4 linked regions of the Oryctolagus cuniculus genome follow. The protein of the gene in region 1 purifies or fractionates together with the protein of each later gene. This does not show direct contact. Links are inferred from orthologs where the notes say so. Each region holds a gene or a part of one and is shown in the gene's direction. Other genes may lie near its edges.

Region 1 (4,158 bases):
AAGTCCTTGGGCCCCTACACCCACATGGGAGACCTGAAAGAAGCTCCAGGCTCCTGGCTTTGTATCCGCCCAGCTTCAGCTGTTATGGCTGTTTGGGGAGTGAACCAGCAGATGCAAGAACTCTCTCTCTCTCTCTGCCTCTGTCTCTCTGTGACTCTATCTTTCAAATAAATGAATAGATTTTTTTTAAAAAAAATGTAATGCAAATCTAATCTGTGTATTGGGAAGAAAAGCTAGATCTGTTGCATAGTGTTTATTTATGTGACTTCTCAAAGGAGAATACACAAGAATGATACTGGATCGCACCTACTAGATATTGTGTATTTTAGCTTCAGTGTCTGTAAGGCCTCTCTTTCAAAGGTGGGATATAGAAAGGCTAGTTCTTCAGTTTCTTAGGATGTTACTAACACTATGAACAATACAAGCAGGTGGAGGAGAAGAGTGCTTTAATGAAAACTTGAGCTCTTTTCTGAACTCTGTACCAGCATTACCCTTTTCTTGTTTAGAATAAAAGTATTTCACTTTCTCTAATGTGTAACCTGGACAACTGGCATATTTCTAAAATGTTTCCTGTGTTTATTAGGCACATGACTTTTAATTTGTTATTTTCCTTAACTAGACTCTATTACCTTACTGCTTTTCCAGAAGAACGTTGTACAACCAAGAATTAATTTCAGTAGTCTCTTAAAGTGCTTGTCTTGCAGCAGTGCCTTTCTTCTTAAAGTAGGGTGACCACCTTCCCGTTTTAAAGAGCACTTCAGGGCCGGTGTTGTGGCGTAGCAGGTAAAGCTGCCCCTGACACGCTGGAATCCATATAGGCATCCATTCAAGTCTCAGTTGCCCCACTTCCCATCCAGCTCCTTGCTAAAGTGCCTGGGAAATCATGGAAGGATGCCCCATGTTCTTGGGCTCCTGCACCAATGTGGGAGACCTGGAAGAAGCTCCTGGCTCCTGGCTTTGGATTGGCCCAATCCCAGCCATTGTGGCCATTTGGGGAGTAAACCAGCAGATGGAAGATCTCTGTCTCTCCCCCTCTCACTCTGTAACTCTTTCAAATAAAATAAATAAATCTAAAAAAAAAAAACAAAAAAAAAAAACAAAAAAACACACACTTCAGTAGAAGTCCTAAAACCTGTTTTATGTGCATCTTTGGTACTAACTAGCATTAAATATCCAATTAGTCTTTTTCAGCTATCTGTGGGATAGATAAATAAAAGTGGGTTTTATCTTGTCTTCATAAGAAATACCTAAATTCCATAAGTCTACCCTCTTTGTTTTGCTCAAAGCTTTGTTTCCTTGTTCTTGTAGGATACCCACATTTCCATTTCTTTGCCTGATAAAGTTTTGATTCATCATGGATAATCTGACATCAGAAGAAATTCAGCTGAGGGCTCACCAGGTTACTGATGAGGTAAATGCTTTATTGAGAATAAGTAATCCTGTTGCAGTTTTCACGGCGCAGGGTCTTCCTAGTCCCTTTGTGTCAAAGAATGAATTTGCCCCTCAGTGGCATTCATTGCTCATTGCTTTTCATCAACTCACCAGAAACACTAAGTAAGGGAAGATAATTCGCATGGTTTTTCCAGATAGTCATTGCTTAACAGTTACTCACAACAAAGATACTCTAAATTTGAAGAATTCTGGATTTTTTATTTATTTCCTACTATCTGTGTAATATTCTTAGAGTTCTGTCTTCATCAAATTTTTATGAACCCCTTTAAGTGTACCATCCTAATTTTCTTTTAAGAAGGACTTGATAAGAATAACTGAAAATACAGTGACCAGTTTTCTTGATTTTGTTTTAAAGGGAGGGATGGGCTAGTGATTTTTAAACAGAATAACGTTCTGAATATAGTCTGTGTTTTTTTTTTTTTTTTTTTTTGGCTACATATTTTGAAATGTTTAAACTAAAACTGTATTTTTTTCCTAGTCTCTGGAAAGTACAAGGAGAATCCTGGGTTTAGCCATTGAGGTAAGAAAGTGTTTAATCATCAAGTTAAATACAGAAGTTTATAGGAGGGATCCTGATAGCACTAGCTGGAGTTGCTGCTAAAGCACATTCTATCAATATACTTTATTATTTGAAACCTGCAATTACTGAAATTGTCAAACCATGTGCTAACTGGCCTTTTCTGCTTTTCCCTTTGTGATGGTATTGGAATATGCTTGGAAAGATGAATTAATTTTAAGTTTTTGACTTAATTATTTTTGGATATTATGTTGAAGTGTGTTGATTTAAGAATGCTAGTTCTGGCCGGCACCGCGGCTCAGTAGGCTAATCCTCCGCCTTGCGGCGCTGGCACAGCGGGTTCTAGTCCCGGTCAAGGCGCCGGATTCTGTCCTGGTTGCCCCTCTTCCAGGCCAGCTCTCTGCTGTGGCCTGGGAGTGCAGTGGAGGGTGGCCCAAGTGCTTGGGCCCTGCACCCCATGGGAGACCAGGAGAAGCACCTGGCTCCTGCCTTTGGATCAGCGCGGTGCGCCGGCCGTGGCGGCCATTGGAGGGTGAACCAATGGCAAAAGGAAGACCTTTCTCTCTGTCTCTCTCTCTCTCTCACTGTCCACTCTGCCTGTCAAAAAAAAAAGAATGCTAGTTCTATCTGTAGCTTCGATCCTCTGAGGATGAATTTCCAAATGATTCTAGTCTTGCTATTTGTCAGCCCTTTTAAGGTCTTATTTCTGTTGGTTTAGGGTATTTAATTAATTAATTTATTTTTTACTATTGGTATTTTCCCTCTTTGTTTTAGTCTCAGGATGCAGGAATCAAGACCATCACTATGCTGGATGAACAAGGGGGTGAGTTAAAGTTACTGACAGAAATTCTTAAATTGATTTACAATGCCAAAATGTTCTATCAAATCAGCCCTGTATAGATTTTCCTTTGGGAATGCCTTAACTTTGTAAGATGAGTGATGTGTTTACTTCTGATTTGAATGACATCATGTTTATTGCCTGGTTAGCACAGGGGGCAGTGACCAACTATATACCAAGTATGTGTTAGGCCAGCATGGCTTATTGTGTGCATCAGGCCTCTATGCATTCTTACTTCACCCTAGAAATCAAAGTTAAGTCCTAAAACCGATTTAGATTCAGATTAACTTGGGAACATTTGATTTGAGTTGGCCTTGAGAAATCTCATCTGTTTTTGATTAGTCTTGTGGTCACCTCAAGTTTCAAGCATAATAAGTGATAGGAATGCTGGGGATCTGATGTGGTCAGAGTACACTTGCTTGCATTGGGAGGGTGCTAAATCTTCACATGCTCCTGGTGTACAGATTTCTTTAGAATAGATCCTTCCACAATTATAAGCCATTGTCAGTATGGGTGTAAGAGTGTCTTCATGTTGAACATTTTGTAATATCTTCTGACACTGATAGATTTATTCTTTGTGGTATAGTATTGGTAGATTTGAAGTTGAAGTTTGCTATTCCACTATGGCGTTTTCTTGTTGATACTGTAACAGAAAATGTACCTTCAACACTTTATTCTTAGAACAACTAAACCGCATAGAAGAAGGCATGGACCAGATAAATAAAGACATGAGAGAGGCAGAGAAGACCTTAACAGAACTCAACAAGTGCTGTGGCCTTTGTGTCTGCCCATGTAATAGGTGAGTGGATAAATCAAGTTTTTTTCAAAATCAGTAAATGAGAGCATCTCCTCCCAAGTAAGGTTAGAAGTATGACTGGACCTAGATGAGGATGTTTGTTAGGTAAACTTAAAATATTTCTTCTTTTGGCAGATTGAGTGCTTCATGCGAATAGCTATGTTCATTGAAAACCATGGCTTACTTTTGGCCAATACTGGGAGCGATTTCCAATTTTAATTTGTAGTAAAATACAAAAATTTTGGAAAATACGTATTTGAACGATACAGAGCTGGATGGGGTTAGTGTCTTTCGTTTCAAACAAGGGAAGTTAATAAAACTCGAGTATGTGTTCTGTGATAGGCTCCTGAGAGATGGCTAAAGGAATAAAGGACTTGGGCCTTGTTTTCAAAAGACTGCTATGTTGTTGGGCGTATGAAGAAAAAACAGAAAATATGTAAATCTAGTGTTAGCTCATATGATATCAATTAAGTATAGGGGGAAAGGTGATAAAGGTTGGGCTGGAGAACATCTTACAGAAGAGGTGGCAGATGAGTTAGGCTTTCAGTGATTAGC
Region 2 (3,990 bases), on another chromosome or scaffold:
GGAAAGCGCTTCCTGGAAGAGAGCTGGGCGAGAGGTCGGCCTGCCGTGCCCTGGTCAGTCAACCCCAGCCCCGCACAGCACTGCGCGTGCACACGCCGGTCCCATGCTGGGCGGGGCTCTGGAAAGAAATGGACTCCTGTGCCTCGCAGGCTCAGAATGGGGATCGCGACAGGGCGGGCCCTGCAACCTGACTCTGTAAAGCAGCTTTTCAGAATAGGTTCCCAAAACTCCAGACCCCACAGCTTCCCCACGCTTGCCATTAGGCTGGTACCTCTGATGCAGTGAACAAGCCGATCTGGGCACCGTGTGGCCGGCCAGCGTCTGTGCCCTGACTTCTTGAGGTCAATCCGACGCCACCCTGCACTGAGCAGCCGTGGCCCCCTCGGCTCTTACTAGGGAAGGGGAGCAGTACTAAAAATCAAGATCAAGACACCAGGCAATGCTGGAACCGCCGGCAGGCAGACAGCTTGACTTGCGGCCAGCGGCCAGGTCGAGCTCCCTGCCGGACGGCTGGCCGGGGAAGCCGCCAGGACGGAGGGCCCACGGCGAGAGGGGCCCCCCGCGGCGCCAGCAGCGCCCCACGCTCTGCGCGGCCCCGCGGCTCAGACTGGCGAGTCCGGCCCCTGGGAAACAAGCTCCGGGGGCGACGCCTCTCGTTCTCTGCCCCGTCCCTGCGTCCCCCTCTCGCCTGAATCTCGCACGCGCGGCTGCAGGCGCTCCCATCTGTCAAGCACTGCACGGGCCTCCCGCGCCAGTTTCAGCATCGGCCGGCAGAGGGCGCAAGAGAAAGCAGAACGCTCCCCTTTTTTCCCACTGAGGCCTTTTCGAGTGAAAGGAACCACGCGAGACAAGGCTTAGAGGCGGGACTAAAACACCGAGCAAGAGAACTGTCAAACCCAGGCGTGCGCCGGAAGTTGTCACGTGACAGCCGCCGCTCCAGCTGACCCGTGCCCAACTTCCGCAAGGTGGGGCGGACCCGAGCAGAGAGCGGCTGCTGATTGGTGGAAAGGCAAATACTGCGGCAGCACTTTGGGGGTGGGTCCCTGACGGTGAGGGCTACGATTGGCTAGTGCGGCGTCACGAGGTGGTGGGTGCGGAGCATCCGGAAGAGAGGCGCAAAACAGGTGGCTACGCATGCGTCGAGAGTCACGGGGCGGTGCGCGGCGGCCTGCCGGGGCGTGGCCAGCGGGGAGCGCGCCGCGCTACGAGGTCCCTGATTGGCCAGTGCCAGTCACCTGGTGCCCGGCCTCGGGCGGCGCGCGCCGGTGCGACGTCAACGCAGCCAGCTAAGCTCCCGGGACCTGTGTACCGCGGCCCGGCCGGGCCTGAGTCCTCCCAGGGCCCGGGTCGGGCGGTTCGCTGAGTTCGCTCTGCGGCCGCCATGGATAACTCGGGGAAGGAAGCGGAGGCGATGGCGCTGCTCGCCGAGGCGGAGCGCAAAGTGAAGAACTCGCAGTCCTTCTTCTCAGGCCTGTTCGGGTAGGAACCAGGCCGAAAGGTCGGCCGGGACCTGGGCTGGGGGCCGCAGGGGTCACGGCCTGGGGTGGCGGGGGAGGCGCGGTGCGGGGGCCGGTTTCCAGGGAGAGGGCCGAAGGGGCTTGGGCTGGGGACCCACGGGCCCGGGCGACCACCTCTTGAGGCGGGGAAGGGGATCCAGGCTGAAGACGGGCTCAGAGGCCAGCGGAGACCTGGGCGAAGGGGATACGGGCAGTGGCCTTGGCGGGGACCAGCCGCGGGGGCCAGGTTCCAAAGCCTTCTCAAGCCCTCGGGGGATCTGTTTGAGGGGTCGCGCCGGGGCCTGGGGCTGGGGCCACCTGCCCAAGGGGCTGACCTTCCCGAGCCCAGGCAGGGGGCTGCTGCGTAGCCCTTCGGTAAGGACAGGGCTCGCACAGGGCCTGAGGGCTTGGGGACAGGACTAGCGGCTGCCATGCGGCAGGCGCCCACGGAAGTTGGCGGCAGCTCAGGGCCGGCCGCACTGAGGGGCTTTGGGGTGCGGCTGCCGCTCAGCCCGCGACCTGGGTGAGTTTTAATCTCCCCGACGAAGGGGTAGCCAGTGAGAGCTGTCTCCTCCCCGTCGATAGCCGGGCGGCGTTGGGCTGGCGGATGGCGAGCGCTCCGAAGTGGTGGCTGGCAGTGTTGGGAGTGCCCTGCAAGGAAAGAGGTGTGCGGTGATGGGGGCTGGTAGAGAGCCAGGCGGGAGCCGGGGAGCGGCTCAGGAGCCGAAAGGGGCAGGGAAGGCCTGCGGACCGCGGGGCTTAGCGGGGTCAGGGCACGGGCCGGGGAGGGGTAGCGGAGGTCAGCGGGAAGCTTGGGGGGTCAGGGCACGGGGCCGGGGAGGGGTGGCGGAGGTCAGCGGGAAACTTGGGGGGGTCAGGGCACGGGGCCGGGGAGGGGTGGCAGAGGTCAGCGGGAAGCTTGGGGGGTCAGGGCACGGGGAGGGGTAGCGGAGGTCAGTGGGAAGCTTGGGGGGTCAGGGCACGGGGCCGGGGAGGGGTAGCGGAGGTCAGCTGGAAGCTTGGGGGGTCAGAGCCGGGGAGGGGTAGCGGAGGTCAGCGGGAAGCTTGGGGGGTCAGGGCACGGGGCTGGGGAGGGGTGGCGGAGGTCAGCGGGAAGCTTGGGGGGTCAGGGCACGGGGCCGGGGAGGGGTAGCGGAGGTCAGCTGGAACCTTGGGGGGTCAGGGCCCAGGAGGGGTAGCGGAGGTCAGCTGGAAGCTTGGGGGGTCAGGGCCGGGGAGGGGTAGCGGAGGTCAGCTGGAAGCTTGGGGGGTCAGAGCCGGGGAGGGGTAGCGGAGGTCAGTTGGAAGCTTGGGGGTCAGGGCCGGGGAGGGGTAGCGGAGGTCAGCTGGAACCTTGGGGGATCAGGGCCGGGGAGGGGTAGCAGAGGTCAGCTGGAACCTTGGGGGGTCAGGGCCAGGGAGGGGTAGCAGAGGTCAGGGCACGGGGGCCGGGGAGGGGTAGTGGAGGTCAGCGGGAAGCCGCTGAGGCCGAGCTTAGGACGGGGAATGGGACTGGGGTTTGCTGCAAGCCGGGGAAGGGGGTCTGGGAGGCGGGGGGGGGAGGGTCTTTCCAGGAGACTGAGCCTGCCCTTGCTGCTGGAGGTGGGATAACAGCAAAGGAAAACGTCCGGGTCCTCATGGGTTTTGTTGTAGACTGAGTGGAGACCGTGTGTGTGCGCATGCGTGTGTGTAATTCAAGTGCGCTGTTCTGAGGGTGGCTGGTGGTGTCTGGTGCCCTTGGCCCAGGGTTAGGGCCCCGCTGGGCTGCACCGGGGGGGGGGCGGGCAGCTAAGCCAGCCTGGGACAGGCTGCTGGGTTGGGATGGGGAGCGCGACACTTGGCGTGGACTAGTGAGGCTGGGTTGTTGGTTGTAAGGTGGGCTGGGTGATGTCCTTCAAAGCCTGCAGGACTCGGGCGGACGGCGCCTGGCATGAGTGCTGTGAGCAAAGGCCTCACCTGGTGACAGGGACGGCCAGGGGTGGTCTCCCTCGGGCGTGATGGGCCATCGGGGGAGCCGTGTGCTGCGGAGCTGTGAGGCGCGGCCTGTGAAGGTTTAGTGCAGGGGGTTGGGGCTGGGCCAAGGTGAGGCCACGAGCGAGCGAGGGCCTGGACTTGAGCCGAGCCCGAGAGGAGAGTGCTGGGTCTGAGCAGCGACTGGGGACGCTGCCGCCCGTGCTTCCTGACGCCGGGCCTGGCGCTTCCGTCCTCGCCAAAGCCCCGTGGATAGCGGAGGCCTAGAGACATCGCCGTAGGTGCTGGAGCAGCATGCGCTGCCCGGCCTGGCGCTCACTCTGCCCTGCCGTGCCGCAGCGGCTGCTCCAGGGCCAGGGCCAGGGCCGAGCCCCCAGAGCTCTGCAGTGGGGAGGGCGCGGCACACCAGGTCTCGGGGAGCTGCCGCCCTCTAGCCCCTCCCCCCCAGTCTTCCACGGGAGAAAGGAAGCAGCTTTGGGGCCTGCGCTGCCCCGACGCTGGCACCCCGCATCGGGGCGCTGGT
Region 3 (3,987 bases), on another chromosome or scaffold:
GCACTTCCACTGAATCGAAGCTTTTCTGACCGCTTTCTCTTGGTTGTGAACCTTAATTTCGAATATAAGATGATAGGTAAGCGCAGCTTTCTTGGATAATCTGAATTCCCAAGTGCCAGGAGTAGGATTTCATTATAAAATTAATAGCTAATCTTATTCTGTCTCCTGAAGATTTAATTGCTATTCTCGTTACCCATTCGAAATCAGCTGTACTGTGTGAACGAAATAAAAGACAATAACACGAACCCCCTCTCTGGCTGCACGGTCGCTTCTGGCAGTTCCACACAGTAGTTGGCGCCCAACGGGGGGTCCCTGAGACTTGCATGTAAAACTAGTCTAGATGTCTTCTTTTTTGTAAGTTTTATTTTTGTAATTGTGCATGTAAAGCATCATTGAATCAATGGATCTGTTGAAGAACTCAGCTGCTGGAAACCATGCAAAATGTTTTGAATTGCCCTTAAAATATGGAAAATGTTTTCTGAATGCTTTATATTCTTTCTGCTGTAAATTAAAAATGAAGAAAATTTCCCCATACTATCCGTGTTTTGCTTTAACTTGACCCGTTCCCGGAATCCAAGGGGGTGAGCACGTGCCGGTTCCCAATGCCAACCCGTGATCCCGAACAGCGCTGGGCGGACGCCTTCCTGAGCGAGAGTCAGTCCTGCAGACGCCCAGCTTTGCAGTTGAAGTCCCAAGCCCTGGGCCAGTGTCCCGGCCAGCGGCCGTCCGCGCCGGCACCGTCCCACGCCCGTAGCGGCCCCCGCCGGCTCCTCGAGGCCCCCGGCCCCGCCGGCTGCCGCGTGCCCGGCGCGTGCCCAGCGCGGCCGGCCCGGCCCGACCCCCGACCCCAACCCGGGGCGCGCGCTCGCTCCTTCCTCACGTGACAGACGCGGCCAAGCCGGCACTGCGTTCCCCACTCCCACCTCACACTCCGCCTCGACCCGGGCGCCCCTCAGCGCGGCCGGCGGCGGGCGCTGACAGACACCGGTCACAAACGAAAACACCCGGAAGAACGTACAGAGCCCCGCCCTCGCCCAGACAGTCCCTGTCCCGTACCGCCTGCTCCCCCTGACCGCGTCCCCAGCGGCCAGGCCCCCCCACGCCGCCATTGCCAGTGGCCCGGGGCGGCCGCCACAGGCCCCGCCGACGGCGTTAGGACGCAGACGGCGCCTCGCGCTGGCCCCGCCCACGTGGGCGCCCACTTCCGGCGCGCCCGGCCGCGCCCGATGACGTCATTGCCGCCGCGCCACCCCACCCATCCCCGAGCCTAGGTCCTGGGCTGCGCAGCTCGGAGGACTCTCGCCCCGCCGTCCGCGCCTCCGCCGCTGCCAAAATGTGAGTGACGCGACGGGGCGCGGGGCGGCTTCGGGGCCCGCAGGCGGCGGCCCGCGGCGGGAGCCGTCGCACGGCCCGGTGGCTGCCTGCCGGTCGCCCCTCCGCCGCGGGCCGAGCCCGTGAGGGCGTTGAGTGCGTTCCGAGGCCTGCGGCGGGCAGCGCCCGCGGGAGTGCGGGCCGTGGCAGGGCCTAGCTGTCGCCGCGGCGCCGCCGGCCGTCCCCAGGGCCCTGCCGCCGGCGGGCTTCCGGGAGGAAGTGGCTGCGCCCAGCCCTGCAGCCCGGCCCTGCCCCGCGAGGTCCCCAAGAGCAGCGCCGGCGACCGCGGGGCCGGGAGCGGCGGCCTCGGGACACGGCAGCCTGGCCGGGGCCTTGCTGCTCCTGAGCGAATGCGTTCCTGGGGCTGCGGCCCTGGAGACCGCTGTTTCCAGATTCGGTTGTCCAGCATCGCAGGGCCCCGGCAGTCTCGCCTCCAGCCCCTCGTTGCAACCCCTGCGGGGAAAACCAGCCCAGCGCCCGAGGGGCGCGCCCGTGGGACGTCCCTGGGGAGGCCGCTGTGCTGGTCAGCAGAGCCCCGCGGACCCCCGGAGCCGGTGAATGCCCCCTGGAGTGACTGCTAAACCTCGTGTTGAGGGCATCGGCAGTGTCCCCCCCACCCCAAAGAGTTAGGATCCAAGGAGCCCGCGCGGGGCGTGGGCCCTCTGCGTGCTCTCGCGGACACTCCACGCAGAACAGCGTGGGATCTGCCTTATTCCCCGGCTGCTGACGCGCGGCAGGTTTTAAATAACTGATGTTGTGTGGCGAGGCAGGTGCTCCACGCATTATTATTATTATTATCATTTTTGGACAGGCAGAGTGGACAGTGAGAGAGAGACAGAGAGAAAGGTCTTCCTTTTCCGTTGGTTCACCCTCCAATGGCCGCCGCGGCCGGCGCGCTGCAGCCAGTGCACCGCGCTGATCCGAAGGCAGGAGCCAGGTGCTTCTCCTGGTCTCCCATGGGGTGCAGGGCCCAAGCACCCGTGCCATCCTCCACTGCCTTCCCGGGCCACAGCAGAGAGCTGGCCTGGAAGAGGGACAACCGGGACAGAACCCGGCGCCCCGACCGGGACTAGAACCCGGAGTGCCGGCGCCGCAGGCGGAGGATTAGCCTAGTGAGCCGCGGCGCCAGCACTCCAGGCATTCTTGAACACGGAGGAGAGAATTCTAGGACCCAGGAGCCCGTGGTTTGTCAGGAGAGAGGTGACTGGTGACTGTCCGGCGCCAGCCAAGCCCTAGGGGAGCTCCGGGCCGCAGTGGCCAAGAGAGGGAGACTTGGAGGATGAGTCGGTCGCTGAGAGGATGCGATGCTTCCTCGCCATTCTCGAACATTCCACGGCATCCCCCCCCCCCCCCCCCCGCCCGGTGTTCCTACGCTGTGTCTGTAAATGAGTCGCTATTAGGAGACACCGGAACTCTTATTCCTCTGAAAGCATTGTTGCCGCAGTGGAAGGGCCCGGGGAGTCCTGAGTGCCGAGAGCGGCCTGTGTGTGTGCCCGGCTGGGGGTCGCTGCTGTGTACCAGACTCTACCGAGCCTTCCTCCTGGACTCCGGTCCCTCGGATGTGGGCAAATTGGTAATCTTGGAGGAACTGTTCAGGTCTACAGGCAGGGTTCTCTTTCGCTTTGGTTGTGATGTGAGCGTTGTCCGCACTGGAGTCCTGGGGAATGGGATCGCATCCTAAAGCTGACAGTACTGTATTGGGATTCCTGACCGACTCATGCTGTGCCTTTCCGCGTTCCAGGTCCACGGGTGCACCTGCAGGTTCCAGCGCTGCTGCCGGCAGCAGAAGACTTCAGCAGACGCAGAACCAAGTGGATGAGGTATCGCTCGAAATGCTGGGAACGTAGATTTAAACAAACATGGCAGCGTGCCGAAGATAATTCTGTTTAGAAAAACTCTCGTAAAGGTGTGAATGGAACATCAGTGTTGAGTTATCATAAAGGTAGTGAATCTGCCCTAATCTAAGCCAAAGTCAGACTCTCCGGGAACCTATATAGAATCATGTACATAAAACAGTCTCCCTGAGGGCATGCCCCAAAAGTGTCTTATTAAAAAAAGTAACAGAACTTTAAGGATTAGGTCTAAGATTGCTCATGCCAGGACCAGTCCTTCTGATGGATATACATGTATTTTTAAATCAAAACGCTCTGTCCTTTAGCCTGACCTACACATTACCCAGTCTGAGCAAGTCTCTGTAGAATTCATCTGTGACAGTTGCCCATTGACACACAGAAGGCAGTCTCTGGCAAACTGCAGCTCAACACATCCGTATTTATAGAATTCTTTTTTTTAAAAAAAAGATTTATTTATTTATTTATTTGAAAGTCAGAGTTAATACACAGAGAAGACGAGGCAGAAAGGGAGACAGAAGCCAGGAGCTTCTTCCGGGTCTCCCACATGGGTGCAGAGGCCCAAGCACTTGGGCCATCTTCTGCTGCTTTCCCAGGCCACAGCGGAGAGCTGGATCGGAAGTGGAGCGGCTGGGATACAAACTGGTGCCCTTATGGGATGTTGGCACTGCAGATGGTGGCTTTACGCTTAGGCCACAGTGCCAGTTCCCTAGAATTCTTGAGCAATAGATGTTCACAGAATCTTTTTTTTTTTTTTTTTTTTTTT
Region 4 (3,939 bases), on another chromosome or scaffold:
CACAGCCATCGCCCCCCCCCCCCAAATGCTTCCTCTATCCTGGAAGCTTGCCTTGATCCTGCCCACTCCAGAGGCACAGCTCACCCGTGCCCATTTTCTCCTGCAAGCTGGCTGGGACTACGTGCAGGATTTAGGTGGAGACCAGTGATCGATGGCCTAGGAGGGGGACCATCTCCTACAAGCTATCCCACTGCTGCCGTACATATTTAGTCCTAGATGTGTAATGTGTCGGAGATCCAGAGAGAGAAAAGGAGCTGCCCGGGGGACACATCCAGGAGGCTAGCCCACGTGTAAAGCAGCACCACATAGCAGTGCCACCCTTGCCTGCTGTCCTCCTTCCTCCCAAGGTAAAAAGCCCCCGGCCTGCGGCCAGGTTCAAAGCCAAAGCCCTCGCCTGTCCCGCAGCAGCTGACTCCAGTCTGGGGCACAGCTGGGTCTGTGGCCGGCCTAGACGTGACGATGTCCCCCCCCGGGGGGGTGAGTGCGGGGGGCAGCATGCGCCCTCCCCCTGGGTCTGCTCCAGCTTTGCCTGCCCCTGCTCTGAACTTGGCAGTTTCATAGCCTGCAGCCCCTCGGGGATTTGGTTGGAGGCGGGGCCTGGGGAGGGGAAGGGTCCTCCTCCTCCTCCTCCTGCTCCGCAGGGGCCCCAAACCTCCCTTCAGCCATCCACCTGCCAGGTGACAGGTGGTCTCAGCGCGCATCACCCCGCTCCTCCACTCTGGCAGGAGCGTTCCCGCTCTCCGCTGGGCCCTTCTGATTTCCCCACGCCCAGCCCATTGCGAGTGCCGAAGCTGGGGGGTCACCAGGCATTGCAACCTGGCCAGGGCGAGACCTCGGGCCACGGGGCTGCGGACTGGTTTATCGGAGTCACGGGAGAGGGAGGAGGTGGCCTAGGGTGAGGTGCGGGGCTCCGCGGCGGAAGGCCGGGTAGCAGGGGGCTGCGAGCCTCCAGGACGCGGCGGCGCGGGGGTTTGGGGAAAGCCGCAGCAGTCAGCCAGGGGTGGCGCGGAGGGCGCGCGAGGTGCGGGGAGGGCGCGCGAGGCGCGCCGCGGCGGCCCCGCCCGGCTCGACCCCCGCCCCGCCGGGCCCCGCCCCGCCCCCGCGGCCGCGCTCGCGACGTGTCGCCTGCGAGCCCCGCCCCCGCCCGCAGTGCCCGGGTGCGGGTGACGTGCGGCCGCCATCTTCCCGTCCCGGGCAGCCAGCGCCAGTCGGAGCCAGCGCGAGCCGCCGCCGCTGCCGCCGCCGCCGCCATCACTGCCGCTGCCAAGTCCTCCACCCGCTGCCCCCGCCATGTGAGTCGGCCGGCCGCCCGCCGTCCGTACCGCGCTTCCCCGCCTCGGCCGCCGCCCTGGGAGTGGACCGCGCGGGGAGGGCCCGGGGTCCCGCCCGCGCCCCCGGTGCTCTCGGGGCCAGCCTGGCGCCCGTGACTGCGCGGCGGGCCGGGGAGAGCCCCCGCGGCCCCCGGGCTGGCCGGCGCGGGCGATGGCCGCGCGGGAGGGTGCGGACCCAGCGTCTGCCTTGCCCCGCCCCGGCCCTGTCACCGCGGACGCCTGTCATCCGGTGTCGACCCCAGACCGCGTCCGTGAGGTCGCTCTCATTTGGCAGGCGGGGAAACTGAGGCCCGGAGGGGGGAGGGGGCCTCGCTCAAGGTCACTCAGCTCAGCGGCGATGGGGCTGGACGGAGACCAGGGCTCCCATCGGGCGGCCTTCCTCCCGAAAAGGAGGACTGGAGGGACGACGGATGGACAGGTGGATGGGCGGAGCCCTGGCCGCGGGGCCGGAGTCTCTGGACCCTGGGCCTTAATCTGCGCCTGCTCCTCAGGTCTGCTACCGCTGCCACCGCCCCCCCTGCCGCCCCGGCCGGGGAGGGCGGCCCCCCTGCGCCCCCTCCCAATCTCACCAGTAACAGGAGACTGCAGCAGACCCAGGCCCAGGTGGATGAGGTGAGTGTGAGCCGGGTGGGAGGCCGCAGGCCAGAGCCTGCAGGTGGGCACGCAGGTGTGGGGCCCATCGCGGGTTGGGGGTGATGACAGTTCACAGCTGTGGGTGTGGGGACAAAGACATGCCGAGCCTCCTCCCTGCCTTCGCGTCAGCACACATTTGGAAGGGCGCTGGGGTGTCAAGCAGCCTTGCTAGCCTGCGGTGTGCCAGCCTGGGCAGGTTTGCCCTGGTGACTGACAGGCTCTCTGAGGGTCGCTCTGACATCTGAATGTGTGGCTGCCAGCATGCCCCTGATGTGTGCTCCTTGCATGTCCCCAGGTATGCTAGGCATGTTCTCTGTGTGTCCTTGGCATGTTAACTTGGCGGTATCTGGGTGCATGTTCTGTGTATGGCACCCTGGGCACACGGTCAAGGAGTGCCCTCGTTTCGGCGGGCCTTGGCACACCCCCTGCCTCCTGGGCCCCTCCCCCAGGTGGTGGACATCATGAGGGTGAATGTGGACAAAGTCCTGGAGCGGGACCAGAAGCTGTCTGAGCTGGACGACCGCGCCGATGCACTCCAGGCGGGGGCCTCCCAGTTTGAAACTAGTGCAGCCAAGCTCAAGCGCAAATACTGGTGGAAAAACCTCAAGGTGAGGGCGGGGGCGGGAGAACTGGGGGGTGAATGGAAGGATGGGGGCTTGTCTCACTGACCCTCCCCTCCCGCCCCCAGATGATGATCATCTTGGGAGTGATTTGCGCCATCATCCTCATCATCATCATCGGTGAGTGGGGCGGGAGTGGCCGGGGCCCCTTCTCTGGAGAGGCTCCCCCCGGTGGGTGCAGTCTGGGATGTGAAGGTCACTAACCTAGTCTTCACTCTGGCAAACGCCACATAGCTGCTTAGGGAGCTGTGGGTCCTAGAGCCAGAAAGCCTGTGCAGCCTGCCGGGTGCCTGACTGTTGGCAACGGGAAAGCCGGTGGATCTCCCACTACTTCACTGAGCATCCTTTGGGCTTGAGAGCCCAGTTTGGGAACTGGAACTGGGGAGTGGGAGGCGGAAATGGAGACATGGCCAGGAAGCCAGTCCTGCCGCTGTCTGAGAGCTGGTGAATTGGGTGGGGGTGTGGCTCCAAAGCCATCCCGTGGAGGCACCCATCTGGCCAGCCCCTTGCTTCACAGATGGAGAGACTGAGGCCTCGAGCTGGGGGAAGGGGCAGCAGCCAGCCAGCTAGGGGGTGGGGAGGACCGCAGCAGGGCCGGGCCTGACACCCAGCTCTCTCTCTCTCCCTCCCTCCCCCCTCCCTCTTCCTCTTCCTCTTCCCTCTCTCCACAGTTTACTTCAGCACTTAAATCCCCGAGGAGTCTGCCCTGCCTAGAGAAGGGCCTCTCCCCCACCCCCAGCCGTTCCTCCACCTCTCAGCCATATCTCTCAGCCCCTCCCCGGATCCGTGTGTGTGTGTGTGTGTCTGTGTGTGTGCCCCCTGTAAATAGCCAGCTGTTATTTATACATATATAATATTATATATATTTGGTCTGTTTGTAGTTTTATTACTAGAAGATTTTTCCGGTTGTCCTTAACACCCCTTCCTGAGGTGTCCCCGTCCTCGCCTCTCTCTGTCCCTGTCCCCCCCTTTCCCTCCTGACCAGTCCCAAGTCCCCTCATTTGCATCTGCTATGCAACAGCCCCTCTCCTTCCCCCATCCAGCTGATCCTTCCTTGCCTTCCCCCTCCTCCCCCTCTGCACTCCTCCCACAACAGACAAAAGCACCTGGCCAGGCCTCCCTACATGCACCTTCTTTGCATCCATTGGGAGGCCCTGAGACTGGCCCCACTTGGTCCTGAGAATCCCAAGATCTTCTGGGAGCTTCCAGCGTGTTAATTAGCAGATCATTTGCACACCAACATCCCTTTGGTTTCCTTGTTTTTTGTTCCATCACTCTTCTTTGAACCAATTTCTTTCTTACTGGAAAGTTAGTCCCCAGTAGTCCTTGTGTCACTCTTATTTGCACGACATTAC

Evidence for each region.
Region 2: the proteins of SNAP23 (region 1) and NAPA purify together in Homo sapiens (affinity purification with mass spectrometry; 4 studies listed by BioGRID and IntAct, with this or other methods). This does not show direct contact. The link is inferred for Oryctolagus cuniculus from reciprocal best matches to the Homo sapiens genes SNAP23 and NAPA.
Region 3: the proteins of SNAP23 (region 1) and VAMP3 purify together in Homo sapiens (affinity purification with western blotting; 6 studies listed by BioGRID and IntAct, with this or other methods). This does not show direct contact. The link is inferred for Oryctolagus cuniculus from reciprocal best matches to the Homo sapiens genes SNAP23 and VAMP3.
Region 4: the proteins of SNAP23 (region 1) and VAMP2 purify together in Homo sapiens (affinity purification with western blotting; 4 studies listed by BioGRID and IntAct, with this or other methods). This does not show direct contact. The link is inferred for Oryctolagus cuniculus from reciprocal best matches to the Homo sapiens genes SNAP23 and VAMP2.

Annotation. Positions count from the first base shown.
Region 1 is NC_091443.1:65,545,170-65,549,327, forward strand, and holds the start of SNAP23 (synaptosomal-associated protein 23), read left to right. Parts: upstream 1-1,354; coding exon 1,355-1,411; intron 1,412-1,930; coding exon 1,931-1,972; intron 1,973-2,743; coding exon 2,744-2,792; intron 2,793-3,488; coding exon 3,489-3,606; intron 3,607-4,158. UniProt on the Homo sapiens protein: Essential component of the high affinity receptor for the general membrane fusion machinery and an important regulator of transport vesicle docking and fusion.
Region 2 is NC_091449.1:10,127,639-10,131,628, forward strand, and holds the start of NAPA (alpha-soluble NSF attachment protein), read left to right. Parts: upstream 1-1,183; 5' UTR 1,184-1,381; coding exon 1,382-1,479; intron 1,480-3,990. UniProt on the Homo sapiens protein: Required for vesicular transport between the endoplasmic reticulum and the Golgi apparatus. Together with GNA12 promotes CDH5 localization to plasma membrane.
Region 3 is NC_091438.1:159,935,332-159,939,318, reverse strand, and holds the start of VAMP3 (vesicle-associated membrane protein 3), read left to right. Parts: upstream 1-1,180; 5' UTR 1,181-1,333; coding exon 1,334-1,335; intron 1,336-3,112; coding exon 3,113-3,191; intron 3,192-3,987. UniProt on the Homo sapiens protein: SNARE involved in vesicular transport from the late endosomes to the trans-Golgi network.
Region 4 is NC_091448.1:52,652,079-52,656,017, reverse strand, and holds the start of VAMP2 (vesicle-associated membrane protein 2), read left to right. Parts: upstream 1-1,132; 5' UTR 1,133-1,290; coding exon 1,291-1,292; intron 1,293-1,822; coding exon 1,823-1,943; intron 1,944-2,413; coding exon 2,414-2,572; intron 2,573-2,652; coding exon 2,653-2,704; intron 2,705-3,255; coding exon 3,256-3,272; 3' UTR 3,273-3,939. UniProt on the Homo sapiens protein: Involved in the targeting and/or fusion of transport vesicles to their target membrane. Major SNARE protein of synaptic vesicles which mediates fusion of synaptic vesicles to release neurotransmitters.